3 linked regions of the Neodiprion lecontei genome follow. The protein of the gene in region 1 binds, or shares a complex with, the protein of each later gene. Links are inferred from orthologs where the notes say so. Each region holds a gene or a part of one and is shown on either strand. Other genes may lie near its edges.

What was found.
Region 2: eukaryotic translation initiation factor 3 subunit E (region 1) and eukaryotic translation initiation factor 3 subunit C share a complex: the UniProt entries of both Caenorhabditis elegans proteins name them as parts of the eukaryotic translation initiation factor 3 (eIF-3) complex. The link is inferred for Neodiprion lecontei from reciprocal best matches to the Caenorhabditis elegans genes eif-3.E and eif-3.C.
Region 3: eukaryotic translation initiation factor 3 subunit E (region 1) and eukaryotic translation initiation factor 3 subunit G share a complex: the UniProt entries of both Caenorhabditis elegans proteins name them as parts of the eukaryotic translation initiation factor 3 (eIF-3) complex. The link is inferred for Neodiprion lecontei from reciprocal best matches to the Caenorhabditis elegans genes eif-3.E and eif-3.G.

Annotation. Positions count from the first base shown.
Region 1 is NC_060266.1:21,378,064-21,389,286, reverse strand, and holds eukaryotic translation initiation factor 3 subunit E, read left to right. Parts: upstream 1-4,308; 5' UTR 4,309-4,425; coding exon 4,426-4,515; intron 4,516-4,616; coding exon 4,617-4,733; intron 4,734-4,863; coding exon 4,864-5,025; intron 5,026-5,285; coding exon 5,286-5,408; intron 5,409-5,514; coding exon 5,515-5,747; intron 5,748-5,921; coding exon 5,922-6,039; intron 6,040-6,104; coding exon 6,105-6,316; intron 6,317-6,405; coding exon 6,406-6,664; 3' UTR 6,665-6,669; intron 6,670-6,759; 3' UTR 6,760-7,453; downstream 7,454-11,223. Other genes in the region: probable RNA helicase armi, read right to left, coding at 7,654-7,995, 8,080-8,322, 8,383-9,590, 9,696-10,569, 10,647-11,223. UniProt on the Caenorhabditis elegans protein: Component of the eukaryotic translation initiation factor 3 (eIF-3) complex, which is involved in protein synthesis of a specialized repertoire of mRNAs and, together with other initiation factors, stimulates binding of mRNA and methionyl-tRNAi to the 40S ribosome.
Region 2 is NC_060261.1:25,906,932-25,917,525, reverse strand, and holds the start of eukaryotic translation initiation factor 3 subunit C, read left to right. Parts: upstream 1-5,740; 5' UTR 5,741-5,906; intron 5,907-6,106; exon of another isoform or gene 6,107-6,119; 5' UTR 6,120-6,132; coding exon 6,133-6,225; intron 6,226-6,363; coding exon 6,364-6,496; intron 6,497-6,571; coding exon 6,572-6,847; intron 6,848-6,975; coding exon 6,976-7,076; intron 7,077-8,773; coding exon 8,774-10,594. Other genes in the region: TBC1 domain family member whacked, read left to right, coding at 1,153-1,301, 2,485-3,052, 3,158-3,427, 4,400-4,516. UniProt on the Caenorhabditis elegans protein: Component of the eukaryotic translation initiation factor 3 (eIF-3) complex, which is involved in protein synthesis of a specialized repertoire of mRNAs and, together with other initiation factors, stimulates binding of mRNA and methionyl-tRNAi to the 40S ribosome.
Region 3 is NC_060263.1:36,422,436-36,432,594, forward strand, and holds eukaryotic translation initiation factor 3 subunit G, read right to left. Parts: upstream 4,710-10,159; 5' UTR 4,553-4,709; intron 3,847-4,552; 5' UTR 3,845-3,846; coding exon 3,397-3,844; intron 3,010-3,396; coding exon 2,594-3,009; 3' UTR 2,355-2,593; downstream 1-2,354. Other genes in the region: S-phase kinase-associated protein 2, read left to right, coding at 1-186, 271-707, 816-943, 1,075-1,421; calcium homeostasis endoplasmic reticulum protein, read left to right, coding at 5,104-5,122, 6,044-6,214, 6,902-7,574, 7,710-7,781, 8,008-8,404, 8,487-8,893, 9,051-9,425, 9,652-9,946. UniProt on the Caenorhabditis elegans protein: RNA-binding component of the eukaryotic translation initiation factor 3 (eIF-3) complex, which is involved in protein synthesis of a specialized repertoire of mRNAs and, together with other initiation factors, stimulates binding of mRNA and methionyl-tRNAi to the 40S ribosome.

The DNA.
Region 1 (11,223 bases):
AGTTAATTTTTTAGTATAGTCAATAAAACTCAGTTAGCTGGAACAGATGAAAATATAATTAGTGACATATGTAGATATAGACAAAAATATAATTAACTTAGATAAGTAAAAAATATAAAGACAAATTAATTAGCTGAAACAGACAAAAAGATTGACGGGCTGAAACAGACAGAAGATTCGATTAGCTGAAACAGATAAAAGGTTTGATTAGCTAAAAGAGGCAGAATATTTGATTAGCTGAAACATACAAAAGGTTAGATAAGCTGAAATAGACAAAAAGATTGATTAGCTGAAAGAGGCAGTATATTTGATTAGCTGAAACAGACAAAAGGTTAGATAAGCTGAAACAGACAAAAAGATTGATTAGCTGAAAGAGGCAGAATATTTGATTAGCTGAAACAGACAAAAGGTTAGATAAGCTGAAACAGACAAAAAGATTGATTAGCTGAAAGAGGCAGAATATTTGATTAGCTGAAACAGACAAAAGGTTAGATAAGCTGAAACAGACAAAAAGATTGATTAGCTGAAAGAGACAGAAGATTCAGTTATCTGAAACAGGTAACAGGTTTGATTAGCTGAAACAGACAAAAATATGGATTAGCTGAAATAGACAGAAGGTTCGATTATCTGAAATAGATAAAAGGTTTCATTAGCTGAAACAGACAAAAGGTTTGATTAGCTGAAACAGACAAAGGTATGGTTAGCACAATCACATAAGTCCATATATTGCCAAAAAATGGGTCGAGCCCAACATGATATTCGCTTTAATATTCGTTGCTTCGATTATTAATTGTATTGAACAGACATTCTAAATTGTTTGAATTGACATCTCTTTCTGCTTTGATTTATTAAAGTGAATATCTTTTTTGACTGAACATTCTATAGTTCTCAGTGCATTTGTTAAAAAATTAGTTTTGTTACCCTGAAACAGAAAATAATACGATCAGTTAAACGAGTATTTCTGTACACTTCAGATATATTTCATAAATACTTACGCCAAGAATCTCCACTGTATAAGTCTACACTACCGAGATTTTTTTTTTCTGCGCGTTGAGCGTCGGCTTTCAAATGCTGCGCTTTATTTTATAACTGAAAGGTATCAAGTCCACGCGCAAAAGGCGCTGTGGAACTTGAAAAGTTTATTATTCATCAAAAAATTGACCAAAGAGCTGAAAGATCAGCACATCGGGAGTGTGTAACTTTTTTATATACTGTTTGCAAGCTCGACGCGCAAAAAGGCGCGTTGGATTTCCGTTCTTAGTTTACGCGCAAAAGGCTGCGTCTAATTCTCGGGATTAACCTACGCGCAATAAGGCGCGACAGGTTAAACTGTCAAAAATTTGTAATATCTGGGACTTGTCCCAAAAATTCTGTGGAAACCCAATCCACATCTGTATCTTTTTGCATTAGATACATTGCTATGCAGATTGTTGTTCTCAGATTAAAAATCGAATCGAAATTCGGAGAGAGGTTGGAGGGCATGCATTATTGTGTGGCGTGACGGTCGGTGGTCCTCTTCGACGCGAAGACTTCGAGCTCAGCATCTCTCCCCATCTAGCGTACCACGGAACGCGATAGATGGTCCAGAGATGCGTTTTGCCCATTCAGACGATCACAGAAATCAATTGAATGGAATAATGATCGGTAATGACCAAATAATTGAATTGAATAACAATTGAAAAATGGTTGCAGAGTGACAAGGAAATGTAAATTTAATCTTGTTAAAATTCACATGCTTAAAAATGGCCCAGAGACTCGAATACGGAGTCTTTGAGCAAAAAAATCTCTGTGATCGTTTGACGCTGTGAATTACAAAAGTTAGTAACATCACGGTACATCGCGACCTTCCTACCCTTACCCGTTTCCCAACGGAACCACCCAACGGAAAAGAGAGACTCACACACACATGCATAAGCCCCGCGACGGATCCCAAAACGTCCACCTACCTACCCGGTTACCTATATTCGATCTAAACGATTCTCCATTTTTTCCAACACACATCATTCTTCATCATTTGCGCCGTGGTCGCTGACTTACATTTTCGTTGGTTACCTGTTCGGAGCAAAATGTTTTTGTATCGTAGTCTGCTTACTCATCGTCAGAATGAAGTATCGCGGTTGTATCCCGCCAACCGTAAAATTGTATGTATTATCTTAGTAAATTTTGGCAGACTATCGGTACATCAACCTTTTGTAAGATGGATTAGAAACATCCTGTACGTTAATTCGTATTTTTCTAAACGAGCTAAACCTTCAATTGATCAATACTTGCTGGCCGTAAAAAAGTTACAAATGATTCGAGACATAACAGGCAGTTTGATTAAGTTACATTATGCCAGACTTTGGAATTTTATCAATCAAACAATCATATGAGTACGATTAACCAATACCTGGAATATATTCAAATCTCAGGTGATGCCACCGCTTAAACGACATCATCGGTAAATTCAAACGTAGATTATTACATCAGTTGCGAAACACAATTCGATCTCGCGAGTGCCGAGTAAGCGATGGTTACCTGTCGCGATGCTCATTCCACTTTTAGCAACGTGCAAAATTTCTAACTTCAATTAAGCTACGGTAAATTAAATTGCGAATAAAGAAATTATTCGACTGAAAGTCAAGCACGTTGCGATCGTGAATGAGCCTATCCATGCAGCTAAAAAATCGTAGATTTGTGTAACAGTTGTTACCGCCACGCCACGTGACAGAGGAATCCCAGGGAAATACCCGTAACCTGACACATGCAAACTCACCAACGTTGCCGAGCAATGGAGAAGTTACTCGGATGTCTCTGCTTAAATCTGGAATAAACAAAAAAGAAAACTCGAATTAATTTAGCAAGTTGGCTTTTCAGTTGTCAAATCAATTATTACTGGTGTCTACAACCATATTTATTGACAAGACTGAAGCCGTCAGCCAGAATTAACAGCCAAACGTTCTCGTGTTTATTCGCATAAGGTAGTGAAATCCGAAAATCAAAATTTTGTGAAATACCTCGAATCCCCGATACTTTTATATAATTATTAGGATAAAACAGTACCGCATTTTTCTATCTCCAAAAAATTTAACACATTTGACTACTAACATTGGGTGGTAGCTTCAGCTTAATTATTTATCGACTGTATGTTACGCAAGGACAAAATTTCGGCTTCGAATGTACATACATACCACCCTGAATTATCAAACAATGAATAAAAGAAGTATTGTTACCTCCTCTGGGCTGCTCCACACTTTACATGTTGTAGTTCTGGCAGCATCTCAGGCTGAACAGTGGAACACCGCACATTTTACACTGAAAACTTTATAAAGCTATAATCTAAGAATCTGCACCGTAATAACACTTGATTCTACATTCACTCTGACTTTCTGTGCTGTAGCTAGCTACCTGATCAATTGAATAGCGAAAACATGTCAACAGTGCAACTACGCATTTATCAGAAACAAGTGAACCGAAAATAAAAACAACACCGACCGACACAGAAAGAGAAGAATCGGTATCACTCGCTGAAGTTACACCAAACAATGAAAAATTGGGACACGAAATTCACCTTCAACGTTCGTAGAATGTATTTATTTCAATAACTCGGTTTTTCTTCAGGCTATGCACTGCTCCTCGTGTAATATTAAAAATGAGTATGGTGCGAGTACACTGATCGAACAACGTGACACAACCTGAACAACGCGGTCTGAATTTCGATCTGATACTGAGAGCACATAACTTCTCTCTGGTTGTTCGGAAGCAACTGATGCCGCACGGCGTTCAGAAGAAACGGATTTGAATCAGTTCTCTGCAGGACATATGATACCCCCCTTTGCGCTCTGTTTCTTTTCCCGTGAAGTGGGGGTAGCAGCTTGGCAGAGTGACAGAGAGGGGGGGGGGGGGGGAGAATTATTATCTTCTGTCCTTCAGAGAACCAATTTAAATCTGCTCATGAGACGCTTACGCCGTTGTTTACGCTCTATTTTATATATGCTCTCAATGGCCGGGTGAAAATACCACGTAAGCGACGCGCAATATGATCAAATGTTTACAGGATTTCCCTACATGCGAGGTCAGGTGTAAGTTTAAATTGTCTGACCACTTTCGGTCGAATGGAATACACCTAAAACAGATGTAAAATGAGAAAAAAAAATTGTGAACCTTATCCTTTTTCAATCCGTTAAAATTGGCCAATTGGTGCAGAGAATATTTTATTTTCAAAAAGTTTAATTTTACAAACGCTATTTGGCGGCATAAGCTGAAATTAGTCGAGGCCGAAAATGGGAGTCGTGTTTCCGATATTGAAACGCGTTAGTTTGTGCCTCTTTCCTTTTTTAGGGCATGCACAAGAGGTGCGTGATCCTCAATATTCCCGGTTTCTTCTCTGTGGTGTAAAGGTGCCGTTTAATATTCGCTACTATTATTTTGTTGATCAAAAATAATATGGCGAAGTTTGATCTGACGGCCCGAATAGGGCAATACCTTGATCGGCATCTGGTATTCCCGCTGTTGGAATTTCTATCTGCAAAGGAGGTGAGTGATTCTCTGCCAGCTTGATTGACTGTCATCAGGTTGTTGAGCATGGCGGTTTTTAGGTTATCGATGAATAACGCGACGTTGAATCGCCATTACAGATTTATGACGAGAATGAGCTTCTACAGGCGAAATTGGACATCCTGAGCAAAACCAACATGATCGATTACGCCATCGATATCAGGAAACAACTTTATCCGAATTTCGAAGTGCCGGAGGTAGGCGATTATGTCGACCAATGGTTCAGGTTTCGTTAATGATAATTAACAATCGAACCGTCGATAAGGATAAAATGCTTTCCATCTCCCATGGTTTGGTGAAAATTTTTAAGATTTAATATTTTTACAGGAACTTAACGAACGCCGTAATCGGGTATTGCAAGAGCTTGGTGATCTTGAAGATAATGCCTCAGTCATCTTGAAATTGATGAGCGATGATGATACTATGGAAACTATGGAAAAAATGAGGGACTCGAAGTCCCTCAACCACTTTCTCCTTAAGGAATCAGATGTAATTCTATATTTATATATTGTCTGAAGTATTGAGATATGTTTATCAATTTTTCACGTGTATGCAATAACAGCATACACTTCTTGAAGTATCGAAAGCATGAAATTTTTTTTTTTTTATCGAATGGGAATAATGAATTGTTGACGGCTTACAAGGAAGAAAAATATTGCTGGAGTTATCCTGAATTTAGGGTTTTGGATTTTTTAGAATTTATTGTTGTCTTATGTTCTAACACTTTAATGATGCGATAAAAATTACAGTTCAGAGTGGAGATGATGGAGAGCTTGGTCAAGTTGGCAAAGTATCGTTATGAGTGCGGAACCTACTCGGTTTCAACGTCGTACTTGTACTTCTACATGCTTGTGATGCCACCAACCGATAGAGTAAATATTCTTCAAATTTTATAGACTTATTTGCGCTAAGGTTACATAATAATTCATGGTGTCATGTGACTTACTTTTTTAAACGTGACTATTTTCTGTTCAACAGAACTACTTGGATGTCCTGTGGGGAAAATTGGCGTCAGAAATCTTAGTTCAAAATTGGGAAACCGCGCTGGAAGACGTTAATAAACTCAGAGAGTACATAGACAGTAACGCTATTGGCAACACTCTTCAGGTTCTTCAACAACGCACTTGGCTCATTCACTGGAGTCTGTTCGTTTTCTTCAATCATGTTAAAGGCAGGGACCTTATCATTGAAATGTTCTTGTACAGACCACAGTGAGTACAAACACTCCCGATTTTGTCTAAGAATAGAATTTACATTATATTGTTTATCGATTCGTTGATGAAGAAGATTTTTGACGCAATTTTGTTTCATCTTGTATAATTTTCCTACTCATTCGTCAATTCTGGTGTTGAGTGGGTGACAAAACAGAGCCTTTTGGATTACAGCTACTTGAACGCAATACAGACAATGTGTCCGCATATTCTACGCTATTTGGCAACAGCGGTAATCATAAATCGATCGAGGCGGTCTACCCTGAAAGATCTGGTGAAAGTTATCCAACAGGTAAATTCAGTTACGAAATCTTGATCTGCAGTGTTTGATAATTCCGGTATAATTTTCACGTTTAGGAATCCTACACGTATCGGGATCCAATCACTGAATTTTTGGAGCACCTGTATGTGAACTTTGATTTTGATGGAGCTCGTCAGAAACTGCAAGAATGTCAGACAGTCGTCTTCAATGACTTCTTCTTAATTGCTCTGCTGAATGAGTTTGTCGAAAACGCTAGATTAATGATATTCGAAACATTCTGCAGAATCCACCAATGCATCAGTATTGAGTAAGTATTGGCCTACTTTGTAGGACATTCTAATTTTGTAATTTTTCGTGGAGATGATTGGATGCCAGCTAATTTTTATGCTCTTTTAGTATGTTGGCTGAAAAACTTAATATGAAAGCTGATGTTGCGGAATGTTGGATAGTCAATCTAATTCGCAATGCAAGATTGGACGCAAAGATTGACAGTAAGCTGGGACATGTTGTTATGGGTGGACAGCCAGCTTCTCCGTACCAACAGCTGGTTGAAAAAATCGAGACTCTGAGCGTGCGAAGTGAAGCTCTGGAGAATCTTATTGAGCGGAAATTGAAGGCGAAAAATCAGGATTCAGTTAGCATAGTCTGGAATTAGCAAAGGTATGTATTGGTTCTTTCAGATGAGTTTAAACGTGCAAAAATACGATATGTTATAGAAAATGTTATTTGACCATGCTCTATTCATTTCAGGTTCTACAATGTATAAAGATTTCCACCATTTTAAACATTTTATAATCAGGATAACGATGTTCAGACGAAAAACGAAGAATTTTGTAACAAACTTCCACCGGATGTGTACCGTTTTTCTACAGTCATTTAAGATCACCATGTCAAGTCAATTTCGTTGTAAGCAGTACATACGTGAAATCAATAAACTGATTCTAATGAAAAGAATTCAATTTGACGATTAGCCCCTTGGTATTCGTACGGTTTATAGGAATAATCGAAAAATTATTTTCAAAATGATAAAAAATATTTCATATAAACTTAGAAAGAAATATAATTTGTCAAAATTTATTATTTCATATGCCAAAAATACAAAATATTCTTGTATAAAAAATGGTATCTCGCAGAAAGTAGACAAGAAAAAACGTTGTAACGAATAGACTTTTGGATTTATTAAATATAGTTAATATTTTTATTATCTGTAGTATGAAATTTATATCTTCATATTTGTTATTCTCATGAATACTAGTTTGAATACTTTGAAAGTTACGTTATCTCCTTATACGCCTGATGCATGAGAAAGATTAAAAAAAAAAAAAAAACCAGTAAATAATTAAAACATTCCCGTTGAGCTGGTCGGATGAAAAAGTCTCCAATTTTCGCAAAGCGGAACAGTCTTAAAACTTTTGACTTATCTCTGAATATTTAATCTCTAGTTCCAGTTGTTTGGAAGTAAAGTTCGATAAAAAAAAAACAATTTGAAAATTTATCGTTCACTTTAAAAAATTAAAAATTATATATTTAAATAGCACTATTGTAACTAACGTATCTAAATAACTTTTAGGAACATATTCTTTATCCTGTGTACAATAAATCATAGATGCAATGATTACAGTTAAAAAAAAATATTCATCAGCACTACTCATTGATAATCGCTGATGAAAAGAAATCACAGCCAGTGTAAGAATTCTTGTCAATACAATACGTAATCACTGTTCTCCAGTAAGGATCTTGTGATAATAAATGTGGATTTCCCAGAATAATTAATAGTGCCCGAGCCCTGGTAATAGCGACATTCAAACGGTGTGGAGAAGCGATAAAACCAAGACATCGTTTAACATCTTCTTGGACTAGATCGCTTATCGATCTGACTGCAGATAGAATAATAACATTTCGTTCTTGTCCTTGAAACTCTTCCACACTGCCAACTTTTGGCAATGTTGTATTCATCTCTGCAAGTAAATCCCGAATATGACGAGCCTGGAGAAAATATAAAAATGAAATAGAACCAAATTTTTGCACTCTGTATAATTAATCCGAAATTGAAACGTTTCAGAATCTTACTTGTTTAGTGTAAGGTGCTATAATCCCAATATCGTCAGGGCCAAGTCCGTGGCTGTAAAGTTTTAGTATATAAAAGTAAGCCTGAGCAGCTTCTTCCGGATTATACCAGCTTGGACTATCTTGATCCTGATAATTCTCGCCGAGAACGCCATGGAAAACTATCGCAGGTGGAAAATCGTCGCGTTCAGGTAAATCGTTAGCGACTGAAGTGAGCAGGTCACCTTCTTTTCCTTGCCTTGTAATCTAGAGATTTGACAAACGATCATTAATTATCATTCAACCAAGAGAGCTAAAGATTATTACCTGCGCCTCGAGCTCAGAATCATAGAATAACGAATTCGGAAGTGCGAGAATTTCCGGCAAGCTGCGATAGTTCATGATGAGTTTAGTAACTAGTCGTGGATCGTAGCCCCTCTCAAATCCTTCCAAGTCTCGTTGGTAAGGGAAGCGCTGAAGCAACCGAGACAGAAAAGACAACCCAAGTCCAAAATGCGATGCGTATTTACTTTGGACGACAGGTCCAAGCTGCATTGGGTCTCCAGCCAAAATTACATGCCCGGTATCGGCATGAATGAAATTTAATGGCACTAATATTTCCGGCTCTGTAGCTTGTCCAGCTTCGTCAACAAAAACGTGGGTGAAGTGACCTCGAGGAAAGCCCATGTTATGCAGTATGCCCAATGAGATGCAAGTACCGACTGTGATTCTGTGCCGTCCCAAAACACTTGCACTGCAGCTCGGTCTTATGCCGTTGGCATTGTGGTCAGGAGTATTTCGAGTTCCCTCTCGAGCCAAGTCACCTACAGCGCAATACGGGATTAGTTTCTGCGGAATTGACCCATCTGTGGTGCAGTGAAACCCTATCAATCTGACCAAATCGCCCGGTTTCAAAACTCCGCTGTCTAAAAGTCTTTCCGATATTAGATTGGCTGAACTATTCGAAGGCGTCGCAACCAACAGTCTGCTTTCGGGTATGGTCCTAAATATCTGCAATATCGTTTCGCAAAGAGTTATCGTTTTCCCTGTTCCTGGTGGCCCAAATATGACGTAAGGCAACGGGTGAGCTGGACTCTGCAAAACGTTACGCACAGCCTCTTTCTGGTAGTAATTCAACGCCCTGTTGAACCATACTAATTTGCGTTTTTTTATTTGTAAAACGCACGAATCAGTGTCTCCAGTCTTCGAACATGCCTGCGCATTCGGTTGCAGGCCTGGAGTAACATCATTTTGTCGTGCAAACGTACTGTTTCTGGATTCTCCATCGTCACTCATTTCCAAAAGTTCCAGTTGCGGTGGTTTGGGTACAATTTTTGTAGGAAATAAAAATTCTTTTCCCAGATGATTTATCGCCAAGTTAACGGCCGTGTGACAGCGACTCGACGGTGTTTGGGAGCACTTGAATGTCACTTCGCATCGTTCGCCGTTATATTTTTCATGGAAAGCTGGATTGAACTTGAGTAAAATCTCCGAGTTCTTTACCTCGTGAATGCATCCCTCGTACTTTATTTCACCTATGAAAAATAAGGATAAAAGCATCAGTTTCAATGACAAGAGTAGAAACTTCCTCTGTCAGGAGTCGACGAAGTTAAAAGTTGTGAGAACTGCTCATAATTCACCTTTGCTGGAGTCCCAATTGAAAGAAACTATGGCTTTGTCTCCGACTAAGAGCGATGGTCGTTTTTCCGCTAGTCCTGGCACTTCAAGGGCGAGAAATTCTCCGCAAAATCTCATGACTGTACTGCTTATGTCGTATCGTTGTAAAGCTATAGAATCAGCTATGCTTTCCAAGTACAACAGAGCATGAAATCGATCTCTGTAATTTTGAAACGTCAAATCTTCGAATAAGCAAGGCACGGTTTCTTCTATCGCCACAATGCCGCTCCGAAAAGGTATTTTATCATTTTCTAGGCGCAATACGACATCCCATAAGTGTTGAGGTATTTTGAATATTCCAGGCCTGACAGTAATGAACTTTGGTGCTTGACAGGTTCTAACGCCACGAACACAGGTCGATTGATCGAACTCGTTTTGCTTGTAAATTTTGTTTCCCCTTGGATTTTGACCGCTTTGCACGTTATGATTTACGGAGTTTTTCAAACTAACATTGAAGCGAAACATGCGATGGACTTTCAGATGTTTGAAGATGAACAGAAACATTTCTTCCGAATACCCGACAAATTTTGCATGGCATCTGAATACATATGTTATTGATTCCGAAGGCTGCAATACTGACGCAGTATCTATTTTTGGTCGCAACAAAGTCAATTGCGACATGGATTTTTTTGACAGAAAACATCCTTTGAGTAACGTCTGTGGGTGAAGTCCATTATTTTTTATCTCTATCGAAATATCTCTCATTTCAAGCAATTGCAAATCGAACATCAAATTATTTGTGACAACTATCCCATATTTTTCTTCTCCAAAAGTTTCTTGTTTTTCATTTACAGTTTCAGTTTGAGCCTGATTATTGAACAATTGTCTTTGCGACACCTAGAAAGGACATAAATGAACTTGTACAATTTTTCAGAGGACTTCAGTAATCTATTACACTCAGGAATTCATTTTACCTGATGCATTAGCGGAACGACCGACAATGACCTCCACGTCTGCATTCCTTGATCACTTTCGATGCTATCTGCGACAACTTTATCGCCGACACATGGAATATATCCAGGCTCGCAGTTGGCTTTGTTAAAAACGATGTTATGCTGTATGGTACCAGAACCAGACTTGACGTCATAGGCAGATACAACACCAGTGGCGAGTTTTGACCTTAGAGGAAAAATTTTGTCAACCTGAAGAACTTCCCCGCTGAAATCTACAACGTTGTCGTCAACTGCTACTATGGTTTGAAGTTTGACCCAATCCCCGACGATGGGCAAAAATTCAGAGGTGATTTCGTCAAGGCTGAAGGAAATTTGGCCAGGCTCAATAAAAACCATCCTCTGCTCCCTGCGCATCACCTTTCCAACAATAACGCGATTCAGCATTTGGGATTTTACCGCATCTTCGGTGCAAGTTGCCACTTCGTTTTCCCATTCGTCATCAATGATTGATAAAATTTTTTTTATCTTTAGCTCCTCACCCTTTGTCCTCTGGAACGCCAGGTAATACACTTTGGCTCCAACTCGGATTTCTCCGATA
Region 2 (10,594 bases), on another chromosome or scaffold:
CAATCCATTGTATGATCGTTATAATCGACCATGTTAAAATTACCCGTACATTCGGTATTGTGTGAAGATAAAAAATTTCCCGTCTACTTCTCGAGTGACAATCTAACCGCAGACTTATGTCGATTCGATTTCAAGAATTCAATCGATAAAATAATTGTATAAATAATAAATTACACCGTGACATCATCGTCGAGTTAAATTCCCAAGTTCGCACACACGTCGAATTTAAGCATCACAATACTAACCAAGCAAAAAACATTTACGAATAATAAATTTTCAGGTTAATTCAACGCAACCCTGGTAATAACTTAGACCGTAGGTAATAAATTCGCAACTCGTCTAGTCAGCGATGAAAAGTTATATCGCATTGTGCTATGATGTTCGCGTGTTTCTGCAAATGTGAATGATTTTAGTGAAAATCATCGACGGGGCAAGTATATTCAATATTTTTAATTTATTAACGGTGATGAAGCAGAAAGTAAGAGGCGGAAAACGGGGAAAAATAAAAATCGTTCGCATACGCGTGTTCGGTGTTGGTAAATACAGCGGATCCGTACGCACAAACACGACGGCGACTGTCAAATTAAGGCGGTTCCTTTGCTTTGTCCATCTACATTAATGTCTGTGATGTGGAAACGGTTATTTATTTGGTGAATTGCGTGATTTCCTAGCAATTCTTCAACCGAGTTAAATATCGTTAATTGATTTCTTGCCTATGTTTATTATCATCCGTGATAAGGTACTTAATCTGTGATAGCTGCAGGTTGCACCACCTACATTCATCAGCTGCAACGAAATAAGGTGTTTTCATTCCCCCATTTTTTGCTGCATACTTAAATTCGGTCTTATATCCGCATGTTTGTCTTTTATGAACGAACTCCGTGACTCATCATAACAGCAACAAATGTTGTAGAGCTGAATCCTTTCTGCTTTTCTGTGGAGTCTTGAAATTGAATATTATATGGCGTTAATATCGAGCAGACGAATTTGAATTTCAATGTTCGATAAGAGCAGCGGTAGACCTTGAATATCAGTTTGCTAGATATTGGAAAGTTCTTTTGCGAGCATGAATAATTCGTTTCATCATTCACTAGGCTTACTACTTTCGCTTTTTTTATATCCAGCCATTTATATTCAGGCTAAAAAGATGCTATGGCTGCCTCGGGATCACGGGAAAATGAGGAGGACCTAAACGGAGACTCGGGGTCCGAAGCGAGCAGCATCTTTCAGTCTGGATCTGTTATTTCAACTGTACCTGACAGGCATGGCTTTCTGGGAGGAGCGCAGTATAGTCCTGAACCGTAAGATTGACACTCAATAATCCGCAAAAATTCAATCAATTTCATTCTCCTCTTACCACTAATTTTGTTAATATTAAAATTGGTGGAAATATTCTTGTTACGCTGACATAAGTTTGGTTATTATTACGATGCTTACATGATTGAGAGTGGGGGAAGTCCCTATTACGAAACAGGATAAGATAAACTGATTGTTAGTTCAATATTTCATAAAAAGAATGATTAATCCCGATAACCGCCACTTCATACAGTAAATAAAGGTGGCTTATGATCCATCTCACAGAGTTCTCCTCAGACTTACTTTTTTCATATCCTGGTGAAACTTATCCTCAAGCTAGATGATCAAATTACCAGTTGTGATATTGATACGGACAATAAATTCTCGCTGTATCCTAGAAAAAACTGCCCTGTGATGTAAATTTATATCTTATAGAATTTGGCTTCTCACTGTGATCATTTTTTATTTGCAAAAAATCGTTTAAAGTATAATTTTTCCTTCAAATATTCATTTTGAAGGAAAAAGACACTAACCGAACACGTTTACTTAAATTTAATTGATTATTCTTTTTTACACTTATCACAGAATTTCTCCAGTGGTGTCAAATATTTTGCATTTATTTTTCAAAGCAAGCAATAAACAGTCTTTTAACAGGTTGTATAGCAACCGGGAATTCTTGGAAAGCCAGGAATTAAAGTGCCTTGAAAAGACAAGAATTATACAGGAATTTTTCCCAGCAACTGGGAATTTGCAATTAAATTGCTGTTTCTACATTCACCTGCAGAAAAACGAATTTTTAAAAATTAATATTTCTTCGGAATATCGCTGTAATTTAAAAATTTTTAAAACATAGAAAGTAGAAACATATAAAAGTCAAAATGTAGATTGGTTGGAGTATAGAGAATATGATGGTGTTCAGTGTTAATTATATCATGACAACACACAAGCGCCATAGAAATCATTATATACGAATATACGGGAGAAAACATGTTTGAAAAAAATAATCAGAAATATACGGAAATTATACGGGAATCTTTTATTCTGATATCACTGGACATCCTGTTCAAAAATCTGCTCAGAACTTGAACCTTTACTTCCTTCTATAGCCTTGTAAATCGAAATGTGAAGTGTATATCATCAGATATTCAATAACTGCCTAATAACTACTGATTATTATTTTTCGAACAGAAGACAGATTGTGCCGCCAGAGGTAATACTTCGAAGGGAGCGAAAATGGCTACGAATGTTGGGAAAATGGAACAACTTTATGTCAGCAAACTATCGCAAAGTCAGAGAGAGATGTCGGAAGGGAATACCACCATCTGTGAGGCCACGTGCATGGCTCTACCTCTGCGGAGGAAAACTGCTGATGGATGAAAACCCGCACTTATATGCAGAGCTGATTGCCAGACCTGGAGATCCAAAGTACATTGAAGATATACGGAAGGATCTTCACCGGCAGTTTCCTCAGCATGAAATGTTTGTTGAGAATGCACCTGGCCAACAAGAATTGTTCCAAGTTCTCAAGGCCTACTCCATTCTCAACAGCAAAGTCGGCTACTGTCAAGCTCAGGCACCCATCGCAGCATTTTTACTCATGCATATGCCCGCTGTACAGGCCTTTTGGTGTCTCGTCGCGGTCTGCGACAAGTATTTAGTGGGTTACTACAGTCAAGGCATGGAAACACTGCAGCGTGACGGAGACATTTTGTTTGCACTTCTAAAGAGGGTGTCTCCAGTTGCTTACAAACATTTGGTCAGTTAGATATTTGTTACACACATTAGATATAATCCTGGTTTTTCCGTTTTTCTGGTTGTAAACTGCGAAATTCTCATGGATGCTTGTCGCTTGTTATTACAGAAGAAACAGAAGATGGAGCCAATTTTGTACATGACTGAATGGTTTCTATGCGTTTATACGCGAACATTACCCTGGGAGAGCATTTTGCGTGTTTGGGACATGTTTCTTTGCGAAGGAGTAAAGATTATCTTCAAAGTTGGACTAGTTTTGCTCAAGGGTTGTCTGGGCCGCTCGACTCTCACCAAACACTGTCCAACCATGTATGAAACTCTTCAACAATTGAGGAATCCTCCTCACCAGCTCATGGAGGAGGAGATGCTCGTGAATCAGGTAACATTTTGACACTATTCCGCAGATTATGTCATTAAAGGCATGGCCACTTGAGCACTATCGATTAAAATCTTTGTAGAGACTCAGTGCTTTTTTGTTACCAAAATTCCGACTTTGTCACTCTAGCCATTTTGACAAATTCAATGGCGATGTTAGGTTGAAAAAAGCTAGCACCGTCACAAATAAAAAATGAAGATAAAAATAAAATAAAAATGGTATATTTAATTACTAATTAGTTGCTTAACCTTTAGGCTGCAGCTTGGCCAGTATACAGATCCGTTTCAGCAATTACGCGATCAGTATTTACTTCTAGAATTAGTTACTCTGTAAAACTACTGCGTGATTTTGTTACTTGCGTGCATTTGGCCGAAAACCATTACTAGTGTGATAAAAATACGGAACGAAAGATATTTCGCGTAATTTTGTATGTTTATCATACTAGGGGTGGCTTTCGGCCAACGTCAGGTGAGTTACGAACTCATGCCATCGATTTTGACAAAGCAACTAATTCTAAAAGTAAATACCGATCGCGATATTGCTCACATAAAGAATATTGTGTAATTTCATATTTTCACTACACCAGGGGTAGTTATCCAAGCTGGGAGTTGATAATTTCACATGTATTTCTTCGTGAAATTCAAGCAACTAAATAGTAGCTAAACATACCATTTTTATTTTATTTTCATTTTCATTTTTTACTCATGTTAATGCCAATTTTTTTCAACCTAGTATCGCCATCCATTCTGCTAAAACGACTGATGCAAGAAAGTCAAAATTTTGGCAAGAAATTAGCAATAAAAGAGCACTACATCTCTACATAGATTTTAATCGATTGTCCTGAAGTGGCAGTGTCACCTTTAGAGACACTCACAAATAGGGTAATGAAATGAGTTTCTTACAAGTAAAAATTCATTCGGAATGGAAAGAACACTTATTGTTAGTATATGATATCCATATTTCACTCCAATACAGATTCATAGACTGAAATTGAGTGAAGAAGACTTTGAATATGAGCACCAGAGGCAAGTGGTTCGTAGAAAATCGAAAGACCAAGCACCTCCGCAGCCTACGATGAACGGAACTGACTGATTGAAAAAAGAAAGCATGAAAATGGAATCAACAGCTATCAAGAAAAGCTCTTGAACATATTCCCTGAAATACGATGTGCCTTTTCCACAAGTATATCATATAGGTATGCATGTATATGTAATGCACAGAGTATGAAGTCTGTTCATCATAGTTAATTGAAATATTAATTCATATTATTATTATTATGTTATTAATTATTATTATGTTATTAATTATTATAATCTATGTTGAAGAATGAAAACACGGTGTTTTATGCACATTCCCGCAGTAGATAAATTACATACTTAGTACCTTTGTTCTATTCACATTGTTATTACGATTGTTGATAATACAAAACAAGCACAATATTTTTGTTATAGCTATATCATATTATTTAATATAAAAACAAAGTATTTTATTGTGCTGTATCATCATTATATTATTATTATTATTAAACTATATGCTCCATTGTCAATATTTATGTACAAAAAAATGCGAAACAAAACTTGTATACCGTACTGTATTTTTAAATGAATCGTATCTTATACGAATATATCACAATAAAAAAATTCGACTTATTAGTAACGAGTGAATAATCAATGCAACATTTTAGGACCCGAGATACTGAGTCGAAAATTCTTTGAGAATAAATTCACTCATGTCATCATCTCTACATATGTCGCGAGCACACTTTAGGTATGTATGTACTTGGTTGCAGAGACTTCACCATCGTCGAGTCGGTGTACAGTATTTACATAGTTTTTAGTAATCCTTATTCTATGTATTTCATACATGTAAATGTAACAATGTATGTTGGCGAAAGACCCACTGGGAAAAACCCAGTGGAAAAACCGCGTAACAATCGCCATTGCAACAGCTTGTTAAAAAATCCGCTAGGTGGTGTACACTGTCTGACAATTTGACATGATCCGAAATTTCAATGACGTATCCGCGTCTATGTATATCTATTTTATTACAGGTTACAATTGTCGACGCCAAGCTTATTTCGTTGCAATCACGGTCTTACATACAGGTCTGGCAACGAAGGTAGTGGGGGTGGTTGATTTCACGGCCGGTTATTTATCTCACTTTGTGGCCGCCAGGTCGGCGTTGTGATCGAGAGATGGATAATCAACGCGTGCGCAATGCATCGCCATCCTAATAATAATATTATTATTGGCACATTTTCATCCGTACCATCCCTACCCCACGTACATCCCGAGATAGCAGCGCTGCGACATGGCTATTTCAAACACTAAAAATCACGGACAAAAAGAGAACCACGCCGCTGCACGCCGCTCTGTAGAAAATTGAGCTTCGTTGCCAGACCTGTATGTAAGATCGTGGTTGCGATCGGCCTCTTTACATTGAACGGCTACCCGTAAGGGGATTTCTTTGCAGGCGATCACAGGTAAATTGATTAACGAGTTATTACGGTCTGTATAATAAAGAAAAGACTTCCTCTGTAGGATGATCAAATTTCTCCTAAATATTACGGCCCCCAATTGTGACTAGGACTTAAAATCAGGCCAAAGCAGTCTATTTTACTGTGCCATGTGTTTGACAACTCATTTGTAAGCCGTGCAAATCAGCAGTGATACATTTGTACAGTTTAATTTCACAGATTCAGTCTAATCATGAGCCGATTTTTCGCCACCGGATCGGACTCCGAGTCTGACAGCTCGTCTGAGGAGGAACAGATTCAGAGGCCCACAGGGGCAGTTTATACGGTATTTTTCAACCTTGCCTTAATCTAACCTTAAATCACGTTGAAGTTCGCTACCGTTATGTGACACAAACAGACTTCGATTGTCTGGTTTTGGTTATCACGCATTTCACCTTTGTAAACGAATAAATTTTCTTTACAGTTCAGTGATGATGAGGAAGAAACAAAGCGTGTTGTGCGCTCAACAAAAGAGAAGCGTTATGAGGAAATCACAAATCTGATTAAACTGATTAGAAATTACAAAAAAATCAAGGATATGAGCAGCATGCTCACAAGTAAGTATTAGTATTACGCGACCTTATGGTTCGGGATTGTATGGAATAAATTAACGCTGGTGTTGTGGGTTCTAGGTTTCGAACAGTTGACGCGAGCTTATGCAAAGGCACTGCCAGTTATTGCCAAGGAGGAAAATGGCCAGACGCCACATTTTTACTTACGATGTTTAGTCGAGTTGGAGAATTTTATTACTGATGTTTGGGAAGATCGTAAGAATATGTCTAAAAATAATTCCAAATCACTCACCTCTTTACGCCAGAAGATACGGAAATATATCAAGGACTTTGAGGAGGATATTACCAAGTTCAAAGAGAATCCTGACCAGGAAGATGAAGATGAGGAAGAAAAAGGTGCAGTTTCGATTATCAGAGTTGAATATTACAGTGTTAACGCAGAGAAATATGTAGATATAATTTAGTTACCTCAACTAAAGCAAGTTAATGTTACATATTATTAATTATTTAACATGATCACATAGCTGAAGAGGCTGAGGAGTCGGATGGAGAAGAAGATCGTGCCAACGCCTTCAAGAAAGCTAGTTCAGCAGAAGCAAATGCTCCTGATGTTTCGAAATTCAAGGTTTGAACGTGGTTACATTATTGTATTAATTGAGCTCGTTAGTTGGCCAAAATTGATACTTTTTATCAATTTTGTTATGAATTAGTCGTTCATTTAGCATTTATCAAATTTTCATTATATTTGTAGGGTTTGATCGTGGTCACGTTACCGCATTAATTAAGACCGTTGGTTGGTCGAAAATCAATACGTTACAATAATTTTATTATGAAATAGTCGTTCATTGAGTCTATCAAATCATTATATTTGTAAGCTACGAAGATTTCTTTAAAAATGGAATATACTTCAATTATGAACAAAAGCATAAGTATCCATGCTTTCTAAAAGGCATTGAAATGTTTAAAAATCTCGTAGATTCGTTTGATTTCATTCTAGAACCAATAATTTCATTTAGAAAACTATTGTCTGCAAAGTTACTGAAGTACTTTTTTTTTTTTGTTATCATGCTGGCATCATTAAATATTTAGTTACATAATATTGCACTAGTAGTATTCATCATCAACTAATGGCAATATTGAATTAACTAGTTAAAAAAAATTATCTGGCTTAGTAACAGTGTAGAAAATAATCTTCTGATTAAAATGTAACAATGTATTGTGAAATCGAAAAATTTACTAGAGTTCTACTTATTTAGAAGTAATTTGAAATAAAACAGCCATATCTAATCTTATGTTTAGAATTCCAGTATTTTCTATTCTGGCGTTTTGAAAGAGATCTTTGGAATATAACAATTTGATTAATACGCAATGTACGACGATCTTTAAGGGACATTACAGTGTGATCCTCCGAAATATCACTGATTTTCGCGATTTTTTTTTATGGTTAGGATAAACTAATCGGTTTGATTTTTTTTTGCACATCAAGGCAGTGATGAAGAATATAAAATGATTTTTTGTAAGTTGATTTATTTATTGTTTAATATTGTTTTAAATTATTGAAAAGTCCGATTCAAAAAAAAGGTCCTGCATGGTGTCCAGGATTGCGGTCTTAATCCTGATCTGAAACAAAAATTGCAAAAAGATTATTAATCTGTATGAAAGCCGCTATCGTGCTATGGACGCTTTTTTTTTTTTTAATTTGACAAAATGGCGGCGGTTTGAACAAAACGTATCGAATTCAGTTTTTTTTTTACGGTTTTTCGTAAAAAAAAATTGAAAGATTTAAAAAAAAAAAAACTTCCATAGCACGATAGAGAATGACGTAAAGAATGTTCTGTCAAAATTGCAAATGGATAGCTTGAAAACTCTTCCTTTGAGAGTGGACACCATTCCGAGAAAAACGCGTTTAAAGATTGAAGTTAGAAAATTGTAGATATATCGTTTAATTACGATCAATCGGCGATACCAGGTCCATACAATATTCCTTCTGCTTCCTTAAATTGTTCATTTCCTGCAGGAACGTACACGCGCAGGTAGGAACAAGACAAAAGGAATAACAGTTGAATGGGGAGACAAACGCAGCAGATGTCATATTCCCTTTCTCTAAGAAATGCTGTAGTGACTGAAATAATTCGAATTTCGTTAAAAAATTTGAGAGAATGTTTATAATAGTGTATACTATCCGATAGTGCAAAAAAAAAAAGATTTTTTGAAAATTTCACACTGATGATCCCTTAAATAAAATTGAAAAAAGGGTCGATTTTTTGCCTCACAACTACTTCAATGTCTTTTATTGTTTTCATGACTTTTTTCCGTTTGTAGAAAGGTCCAACGATCGACGGTGAGGAAGCCAGCGACAGCGACGAAGATTGGGGAAGTGATTCTGACAGTGATAGCACATCAAGCGATGACGATGGCCAGTACACAAACATTCGCGAAAGATTCATAAAGAAAACAACAGACAAAGATGATGACGAAGATAAGGCAAAGAAGAAAGAACAACGCAAAGAGCGCAAAGACAAGGAGAGAAAGAAGAGACGTGATGAAGACGACGGCGAGGGTGAATGGGAGACTGTTAAAGGAGGTGTGGCAATACCGTCAGAAAAGCCTAAAATGTTCGCCAAGGATGCTGAGATAAATGTGCAGGCCGTGTTGAAGAAACTAACTGAGGTGATAGCTGCACGCGGTAAAAAGCGAACAGACAGAAGAGAGCAGATCGAACTACTTCATGAGCTGCAGTCGATTGCTGAAACTCATAATCTCGGGCCAGCCGTCGCCGTCAAGATAAAGTTTTCTATAATCTCTTCAATATTTGATTATAACCCAAAAGTTTCCGATGCGATGAAACCTGAATACTGGTCAAAGCTTCTTGAGCGCATATCGGAGATGTTAGACATGCTTCTGAGCACTCCAGATATGGTAATCGCAGAAACAGTCTCTGAAGACTCAGAGGAATACGAAACACCGCCGTACAAGCTGCATGGTTGCGTGCTGACTCTGGTCGAGAGATTAGACGAGGAGTTCACCAAGCTGCTTAAAGAGTGCGATCCGCACAGCAACGAATACGTCGAGCGACTGAAGGACGAAAAACGCGTATCAACGATTATAGACAAGGTGCAGGAGTATCTGGAGAGGCAGAGCGTAGTATCAGAATTGTGTCGGATTTACCTTCGCAAGATCGAACATCTTTACTACAAGTTTGATCCGACTGTGCTGAAACAGAAGGATGGCGAAATTGCTTCCAATGTCGTAACGTCGGTCCAAGTTATGGAAAAATTGTGCAAATTTGTCTATGCAAAAGATGGTACAGATCGTTTGCGGACCAGAGCTATTCTTTCGCATATTTACCATCATGCGCTTCATGACAATTGGTTCCAAGCTCGAGATCTGATACTGATGTCCCATTTGCAAGAAACCATTCAGCATTCAGATCCGGCTACGCAAATACTGTACAACAGAACGATGGCTCATCTTGGACTTTGTGCGTTTAGACATGCAAACATCAAAGATGCTCATAATTGTTTGGTTGACTTGATGATGACTGGTAAAGTTAAAGAGCTCCTCGCTCAAGGCTTGCTGCCGCAGCGGCAACACGAACGAAGCAAAGAACAGGAGAAGATTGAGAAGCAGCGTCAAATGCCGTTCCACATGCATATCAATCTCGAATTGCTGGAATGCGTTTACCTCGTGTCTGCTATGCTTATTGAAATTCCTTACATGGCTGCGCACGAATTTGACGCCAGGCGAAGAATGATCTCTAAAACGTTTTACCAACAATTGCGATCTAGTGAGAGACAGTCTTTGGTCGGTCCGCCAGAATCGATGAGGGAACATGTTGTTGCCGCTGCGAAAGCAATGCGGAACGGAAACTGGGCTGCCTGCAACAATTTTATCATCAATGAGAAAATGAACGCCAAGGTTTGGGATCTTTTCTATCAAACCGATAAGGTTCGGGCCATGTTGACAAGGCTGATACAGGAGGAAGCGCTGCGAACTTATTTGTTCACTTACTCGCATGTTTATGACTCGATTTCAATGCCCACACTGGCAGAGATGTTCCAGTTGAAGCGCCCCGTAGTTCACTCGATTATCAGTAAGATGATAATTAATGAAGAATTGATGGCATCGCTCGATGACCCGACG
Region 3 (10,159 bases), on another chromosome or scaffold:
TTTGGAGACATGAAACAAAGTTTCAGCAAAGATGAATTGGGAGACATGGTAGATAAGAACGGATTGGATCAATTTTATTTGTACAGACGAAAGAAAAGACCGTCTATTACTGGTGAAGATAAATTCAACAAACTCTCTGACGAAATGATTCTGATGATCTTAAGGTGGCTTCCGAAAAAATGCTTGGTAACCACCATCTGAATTTTCTCTACAACGTGCATTTCTGTTTCTATTTTTACGTATTTAAATATTTGTATAATCTGTCTTCAGGTGCGTTCAATGCTTGTTTGCAAACGATGGTGTCAGATTGCCCGTGACGAGGCATTGTGGAGTCGTTTAGACCTTGGTGGTAAAGTTTTGGGAGAAGGAACCCTGGGACATATCCTGCCACGAGGTGTTCAAACATTGAGACTGGCTCAAGCAGAAATCGCAGACCCAGTATTTCAGCCAAGCAGTGAAACTCTGAACGAAAATTACGTCAGTAAGCTGCAATACCTAGATTTGTCAATGTCCGTTATATCGCCTGATGGATTGGCAGCTTTGTTATCCGTGTGTAAATTTTTGAAAAAATTATCTCTCGAGAAATGTACACTGAATAGACTTTGCTGTACTGCTATAAGCAAAAATCAAGACTTGGAAGTTCTAAATTTAACCATGTGTGAAGGAATTGATATAAAATGTCTCCAGGATGTTCTAAAATTGTCAAGGTGAGGTACTTGCTTCCCAATTTATACTTGTTATTTTTTATTTGAAAGCTGTAATCTCAGTCTTATTTTCATTATTGTTACCTGTATAACATTTCTTGTTCATTTTAGATTGAATGCTCTTAACGTTGCTTGGTGTGGCTTGGATTTAGAATGTATGACATTACTTTGTCGACAATTACCAAGCACCATTACCCGGCTGAATATTGCCGGATGTCGGAAAACCATGACAGATGATAGTAAGTATATAAATATATAAATATAAATATACATAATAATATAAATATGTATAATAATAGGCTATTAAATACTATGACCCTCGACGAAGTATTTAAAAGTTTGTTATTTATTTATTGACTTATTTTTGCAGATGTCAAAGAGTTGGTAAAATGCTGCCCGCGTATCATCGAACTCGATATGAGTGATTGTACAATGCTTACAATCAATGCCACCCAAAGTCTATTAAGCCTCACAAAGTTAGAACACTTAGCCCTAAGTCGCTGCTACAGTATTCCTCCTACCACTTATTTAAGACTAGCTCACATGCCCTGCCTAATGTACCTGGACGTCTTTGGATTAATGGCCGAACCTACTTTAGATACACTGCAAGCAAGTTGCGGAAATACTGAAATAAACAAGTTCCTATACAGTTCAGTCGCCAGACCGACAGTTGGTGTTAGGCGAACGAGTATTTGGGGTCTTAGAGTTAGAGATTAGGAAGCTAGAAGAATTGAAAAAAATCTCATTTAGTGATTTACGAAAAACCAGAGAATTCGACTAGTAGTAGGTATAGTTGATTACAAATCGCGTTTTGTCGCAGTAACTGAGAATAAATCGGACTTAATCTCTCGTAAATACGAGTAAACGATTTCTTGAAAACTGAAGTAATAATAATAAAGTAAAAAGTTCATTAAGGTATGTATTTCGAAAGTAGTGCCAGAAAGCGGTAATAGAATTGATTTTCATTTTTGTAAATAAATTCTCATACAAGACGATTAACACAATAACATAATAATAATAATAATAATAATAATAATAATGACAATAATGTTGTTAATGATCAGTCAATTATCTGCCAAATGTGCTTACTTGTTGAATATCAATTTTTTTTTTGTATAAAATCGCGAAATTCAGCACTGTAAAAAACCTGTAATACTTTGAAAGGTAATGATTATTTTTATAAATGATATTAGGAGAATTTTTCTTTCTTATTTTTATGTCACACAGTCCACACATTGTAATCTGCATAACGTGAATTAATGAATTTTACAATGCTTCTCCCGACATGAGTGATGTGAAGCGAGTTTGATTTCTTGTGATTTTTTTTTTTGGAAACCCATGATACTAGATGTAAGAATGTATGTATACTATTTTTAAGATGGATAGAAAGGAAAGTCCTTTGATACTAAAGATAATTCGGTATTTTCCTTTCTTGCATCAATATAGTACCGAATTTTCCTGGAAATCCGGGCTTACTGGATGATTATATTATTGACGACTATGTGAATTAATTATTATTATGTATATTCTATAAAAATGAATCATTATGGTTAATCTGAGTTCAATTCTCTTTTGCTTAGTTTTCAGCAATACCCAACTCACTTTAAAGTTATTTTGTTGCAAGTGTGTAACTATCAATAATCAGAGGAGTTATATTTTGGACAATTTATTAAAGAATCAAAGATACAACTGCAGAGATTGCAAAACAATACCTTGGTTACTGAAACGTGGAATCCGTTCATTCAATTTATATATATATATATAAACATTGAAATATTTGATTATAATTTATTACACAAGATACATATCAATAGGGTCTTAACGAATGATCAATTATTGCGTCAGAAGGATTTAATCTTGTAAAACGGAGTCACATGCGCAATTGACATCTAATTACTTTGTGTGGGGGGTTTGGACCAGTCCACATTTAAAATAAGGTGATCGTAACCATGTCCATGTAATTGAACAATAGCTTTAGCAGCATCAGCTCGGAATTTATAATGAACATAAGCAAATCCTTTACACGAATTAGTTAGCTTTTCCTTAGCAAGGTACAGTTTTTGAATTGGTCCAAAAGGCTTAACAAGCTCTTCCAAATCGGCGTCGGAAGTGCTTTCAGAGAGGTTGGAAATTCGGATCGCTGTTGTATCGTCACGCTTCGTCATCTGCATCGAATCTCCACGTCTATTACCGCCATCTCGCATATTGGGTGGTACGTATCTACTACCCTGAGGTTTATTTAGATCAGACATTGCTCCAGGTGCTCCTGGCACTCCAGCTGGTTTCTTATCATCTGGAACTTTACCTGGAGTAAAACATTTCAAGATTATCAGTAAATTAGAAAGATGGACTGAGAAAAGCTTAATTCTCTTTTGGTACCGAACACAATTACTGGTTGAAGGTAAAAATATTTTAACAATTGAATGGTCGGTTCATCTGAGGAATAATAAAATGTTCAAACTTTAAGGACGCAGTTCTAACATTTGGAAAAATGTTTCCTTTGAGACAAAAACTTCCTGTTACAGTATAAAATCTCTCAGTATTTCGTCTTACTTTTTCGAAATTTTACTAATACCTATAAATCTATTCTAATCGCAGAACTTGTATAGCGAGGGCTCCTGAATATTATAAAGTTTTTGGATGAGTGAATGCAAGAACTTCAAATAATGGGTAAATATCAGTATCAAGTTACCTCCAGCGAGTATAGTGTCTTTGTAAGGACACTTTGAAGTCCAGTGATCACCATTGCAGTTACGACACTTGACGACACCCTTGTCCCCGATACTCTTCAATTTGTCAAGTGAGTCTTCTTCGACCTTGTTCTCTTCTTCCTTATTTGAAATGAACTGCATGAAGACATCTTCTGCTCCGACAGTTGTGGCTGGATTTGGTCCAGGTCTGTCGTCCGAGGAGTCTCCAAACTTTGCCCAGTTTTTCCGCACGGCTATAGTCTTTGATACTATACGACGTTCCACCTTATATGTACGGACAACTTTTACTTTCTTATCGTCTTCGTTGTATTTGTATTCTGTAAGGATTTTGAATCCATTTTCATAGACCTCTGTCGGTGGTGGCAGTGCTCCTCCTTCTTCCTCAACTTCATCTGCCCAACTGGATTTAACTTCTTCTGTTACCGGCATGTCTGCAAGTTTGAAAAACACCTCTAATCTAGTAGATGGGTAAACAATAGTGTTGGGCCAAGTATATCAATCCTAACGTTTTTTCTACCTTTTACTAGTTGTTTCTCTTTAACGTTTCACATGTCTTTTAATTGTAACTTATCAAACTTTTCAGCCTCTAGAAGAATTCCAATTCAAGCGGAAGACTTTCGATTTTAAATTACTATCAATTTCCCTGTACAGGAACCTTCGATTGTTAAGAAACATTTGTTTACACCTGATTGATTAAGGAAGTGTAGATAGCGAACGGAATAATAGCGAGCAATTTACAAAGTAAACGATCTTCATAAATTTATAAATGTATATTTAGGATTTCAAAGAATGGTGGAGATCCAGAATATCTCTGCGTTTGAAAGGATAGTACGACTCAGGATGGAGCATTGAACTATTTGAGGTTAGGGTATCGCAACGTCTCGAGTATTGATACCCATCATTCCAATCAATTCATGAAAGTAGCGTCGATTAAATTTAGAAACGCGACACAATGATTTGGCAACTGGAAGACTCTTTAACCTGGTAAAATGATCGTAACATTGTAGAAGATACTGAAAATTGCATTTGAGTAGATCAACCTCACGTGTCATAAATTTTGGAATCTCAGCCGGCGTTGAGCACCTTAATGAAAAATGATATGGAATAGCAGATATTACTATTATATTACAAACTTACCTGTTCTCCGTGAGTAACGGTATCGGTGTAACGAAACGTAATACTTGGAAGATTTTAAAAGAACTTGACAACGCTTCGTCGTACATATGTCCGTCGGATAGACGATCAGCCAAAATGGAAGAAATGCCAGTGGCGTTGGGGGCGATCGCTGCTCCCTCTGTGCGTTACATCGAAAACTTTAGCGACGAATGTAGATGAATGGCTATAAGTTGTCTGTGGATCACGGTGAATGCAGCCAGCATCATGTCGAAATCGTATCTCTCTGATGTTCTGCAATAAGTTCTCAACTCTACCGTTGGAACATCTCAGAGGGCGCAAGCGCACGACGATTTTCGGTTGTCACACCAAAGTCCACTAGGGGGACTGTCTTTACATTCTTGAGTCACCGGCGAGGGAGACGAAGTGAAAAAAATGGCGATGTCTAGCGTTGTCGCTGTATCGTGAGCATAATGGTTTTCGGCACAACATTACAGTTGAAAATACGATAGAGTTTCATTATTAAGTGTGAATTATTCGTTACACGACGAGTCTCGAGTACCCACGAAGAAGAAATGGATCAGGCTCCTGCAGGTAGAGAAAAAAAATCACAATCCCAAGAATCAACGAAGCGCGGTATTATTTCCACACTACGTATCACGTATCAATTAATTTTTCGGCTTAATTTTTCGCCCATCAATACAATATTACTCTCCACCTTTACAACTTGACGAGTAAATACAAATCACTGCAGATTTCTCTCACCCTGTGCTACACAAACATATCGTTGTGTACAGGAATTGTATTAGGTTATGTGGCTCCTCTCACGTCCACCTTAAAATTGCCGAAATCGGCACCCCGATGAGAATTTGGAATTTTGATTTATTACTAAGTATGACTATCTACGAATCTTTTACAACACTCGGCGAAATATCGGTGATTATTTTTGTTTTCCACGTTCACATTCATTGTCCGTTCGCTGCTTTCTCTCCTACAATCACCCTTCAAGATATACAATCTGTTAATCAAACCTTAGGTATGGTTATGATTTTAACAGGGTAAATATTTGTATTCCATATTCATTTCACAACACGTAATCGACATCTAAATTGCGATCAAACAAGTCTGGAGAATCTTTTAAGTTATATCATAAACGATTTGTCTCAAGAGAAATATCTGATACTCTTCAATACCGCAATAACATTATATTGATATCCTTATCTTGATATCATATCTTGTTCTGCGATGGTTACATATTGTTTCCATTTATATTTTAAAGTTAATAAATAACAGGATAGCTATCTAAATGTTGGATTATTTTTTATATCAGAACTGTAACTAGGATATTGTACTTATATGTCATAATGATTTCTTGAATATTTTAGAAAATAATCTGTCTAGAAAATAATACCGGGTAAGATGATGATCCTTTTTTTCCATGAAATATGATGTAAGCTTACATTGTTGTTGGATGCCGATTGTTCTAACAAAGTTCTGTTTTAAATGATTTAATAGACACGGACTTGCGCAACATCATAGACAAGCTGGCTCAATTTGTCGCACGTAACGGACCAGAGTTTGAGCAGATGACGAAAAACAAGCAAAAGGATAACCCGAAGTTTGGTTTCCTGTTTGGCGGAGAGCACTTTAACTACTATCAATACAAAGTGACAACGGAGCAAGCCAGTAAGTGGGAACAAATCCCCTTAACAACGTACAAAAAAAGGTCTTCGTTCAATGAGCTAGAAGCAAACCCAAAAAAAAAAAAAACAAAAAAACGACTATGAGAAAACGTATGAAATCGTCAAATGAACAAAACATCACCACCGTGCAATGAGATGAAAAATGTCATTTGTGCAAATCAGGACATCGTTCAAGATTTTGGGAATCGTTATTTATTATAAGACTTGAAAAAAACTAGAAATGTGAAAGGGGCTTTCTTAAAATACAAATAAGAACAAGATGTAGCTTTAGGATTGTTATCTGATCCAAGATTAGATCGGCAAGGATACAAATGTTTAAAATACCAACTACTTTTATGTTTATGAAGAGTACTACACACTGCCGCAGTAAAATCTGTTTTACATACATGCTCCTGTACTCAACTGTTTGGTGTAGCACGATGAAAGAAAGAAAACAACACATTCTGTGTTCAGTGGCGCTTTAAATTTAACAGTAGACTTAATGCATTCTTACATGATGCCAGAAAAATTAATATGTGCCATTCGAAGATATTCATCCAAAAAACAACCGAATTAAAAATGACAAAAAAATAACAAAAAAAAAGTAAAAAACATGGACCATTAGTTTATTTTTTCAATATCATGAAGAAATGAAAACAAATTGCAATAATCCACCGTCATTCGTTTACAGTTTTAAAGCAAAAAGGAATAAATCCAATGCAAAATGCCGACCCACGTTTAAACGTTTCGCAGCAGCAGCAAACAGCCGCGGCCGTCGCTTCGCCACAAAATAACGTCAGTCTTGCCTCGAGCCTGAGCGCTCAAAACAACGGTTTAAGCCAAGTGGTCGGGAACCCAGGGCCCGTTATACCAGGGATAACTGGGGTACCCGGAGTATCCGGAGTTCCAGGACCAATCGGAGGGCCTGGAAATGTGGGACCACCTGTTGGGGCCATTCCTGGACCAATAAGGAACGTGAATTCGCCGATCGGAGGAGTTAATTCTGGTGTCAATATTGCCGGTCCTTCAGGTTGGTTGCGAAATGAACTTGCGCAGCTTCAGTCACAGCAAGCTACACTCCGAGAACAAGTTAGGCAATCTGAGCAAAACCTCGCTGCCCAACACGCCGCTTTAATGGCTCAACAACAAGGGAGAGTCGAGGAGGCTGTCAGACAAGCTCAAGAAGCATCGCTGCAAAATAATGCTCAGCATACAAACACTGACCTTTCTGCATTTGATTCTGTACTACAACCCATTATCGAGAGCTGCACTAAGGACAGCATCAGTGCCGGAAAGGCTTGGATACTACAGAATTCTATCACAGCACAAAGCAATCAAGTTATCGCTGAGCATTTGCTGAAAAAGTATGTATATCTGTTCATCACCATTTCTCGATGTGTTTAAAGTTATCAAAATTTCACATCAAAGCTTAGCCGGCAACAAAACCATATTAATTTTTTTTTTAATCGAATTATAGTAATTTCTGTAATAAATTTTAGAGTAATTCAAGGAGCAGCTTTCAGCCAGAAGTTACACGTGATTTACTTAGTAAACGATGTTCTTCATCATTGGTAAGCACACAAGTGTATTTCACAAAGAGGATTATTATTTCAAAAGTTTATTTCGACTCAGTGCTTACCTGAAGGTAGGATAAGCAGACTGGTCAAATGAATGCAAACTGGAAATGCATATAACTGGTTTATAAAAGATATTCTAGAATTGGTTCTGTACCTTTTTATCCAACACATACAATATAATCATGTATACATTATTGTAAATCTTAAAACAATTTCTTAGTGCGAGGAAAAAATCAATCGATCTTCGCAAAGCAATGGAAAGCGTTGTTGTCCCGATGTTCTGCAACACGTCATTGGCTGCTACCGATGAACAGCTTAATAAATTGAACAAACTTTTAAGCCTTTGGGAATCTAAAAATAATTACTTTGACGATGGAATAATCGAGAAGTTGAAGCAACCGAGTATATCTTGGTCAGAATACCAGGCCAGTTTAGTTTCAAAACATGCAAGTGCCATTACACCAATCACCACATCAACCAAACAGACTTTTGAAAATTATCAAGCTCAGCATCAGGCCTTCATCAATCATGCTATGAGACAAATTCAAACTATAGAGCAGCAGAAAATTTCCATTGATCAGCAGCTTAAAGCTCCACCACCTCCGCCACCGCAAATGGTAAGCTTTGTTGTAAAATAAACTGATATTGCATATTCAAAAAATGTTTCGCGCTTCTAATTAATGAAAATGTTTTATACAGAACCAACCAAATTTAAACATACCACCAACTCACACTGGGCCGCCTCCTCCAATGTCTGGTGGTGATATGAATTTTAGTCAGCCCCCACCAGGCTGGGGAGTTCCTGGGGCTCCGGAACCACCTCCGTTTACCAATGTTCCATTACCGGACTTCTCTAAACCACCACCTGGCTTTGGCCCTCCACCGATCATTCACGAACCATCCATGGAAGATCTTATGCCTAGTATGCCATACTTCGAATTACCAGCTGGCTTAATGGTCCCACTCATCAAATTGGAGGACGGCGAATATAAGTCATTAGATCCAGATGCTATAAGACTTCCACCACCGGCTCCACCGAGTGATAGATTAGTTGCTGCAGTCGAAGCATTTTATGCTCCTCCAAATCACGATTCACCCAGGGATAGGTAAATCAATGTTTAGTAATAATTTCATGTTATACCGACACATTTACATACGATATTCAGGCAAATACACCAATTCACAGCGATGTGACGCTGATGTTAGGTATATTACTATTGGACTAAATGCATGCATGCTTATATTGTTACTATCGAATTTTAGTGACGGCTGGGAGAAACTCGGTCTGTATGAGTACTACAAGGCGAAAAATGCGGCACGCAAACGAAAGGAGGAAGACATTCTGAGTGGATTAAGACAGAGGTCTCGATCACCGTCCCCTATTTTAAGGCCACGATCTAAAAGCCCGAGTCCGCCCAAAAAACGATACAGAAGTAAATCTCGCAGCAGATCCAGGTCTAGATCGAAGGGCCGAAGCAGATCTAGATCACCAACGAGTAATCACCGGCGCAATTCCCGTAATAGTAGCAATCACAATAGCAGGAGTAGGAGAAACAGAAGAAATAGCAACAAAGAAAGGAGTCCAGACAGCAAGCGAGGGGACAGATCTGACCGAAGTCCTACGCCACCTAGTTTTCTGTAAGCATATTTACGTCATTATATTTTTTTTAAACTTAATTAGTGAGTTAAAATTATTTAAAATTCGCGTGGTTAGTTTCCTTGTACGATTTTTCGTAACTTTGTCAAATGGAAAAATCAATTTGTTGACTTTTTTCGATATAGTTCCGGTACAAAAGTACATTTTTCATTCAAATGAATTTTACCAATATGTGATAACGAAATGCTGACTTATACACTTCAATAGGGGATCAACGTACAGCAAAGCACAGCAGGAGATAAGTTTAGATGAGAGTAATAAAGGCCATCAATTATTGAAAAAAATGGGATGGGGTGGAGCTGGTTTGGGTGCAAATGAACAAGGAATTGAAGCACCGATATCAGGAGGGGAAATACGGGACAAAAATGACCAGTACAAAGGTGTTGGGATTAATTTGAATGACCCGTACGAGAACTTCAGAAAAAGTAAAGGCCAAGCTTTTATCACGCGAATGAAAGCAAGAGCGGAGGAAAGAGCGGAAGAAAGAGCAGAACGAGATTGAATTATTTTATAATTAAATATATGATATTGTCTCTAATATCGACATTGTAAGACAAAAGTGCGGCTGTTTATACGTATACTCACGTGTACGTACTTGTACGTGTACATAATATAGATGTACACAGTGTAACCGTTGCTTGTGAGCAAAGGAACAGAAATGAAAAGGGAGACGCATTTTTTTACTTGACGAAGGAAGACATTTTCGTAAAATAAA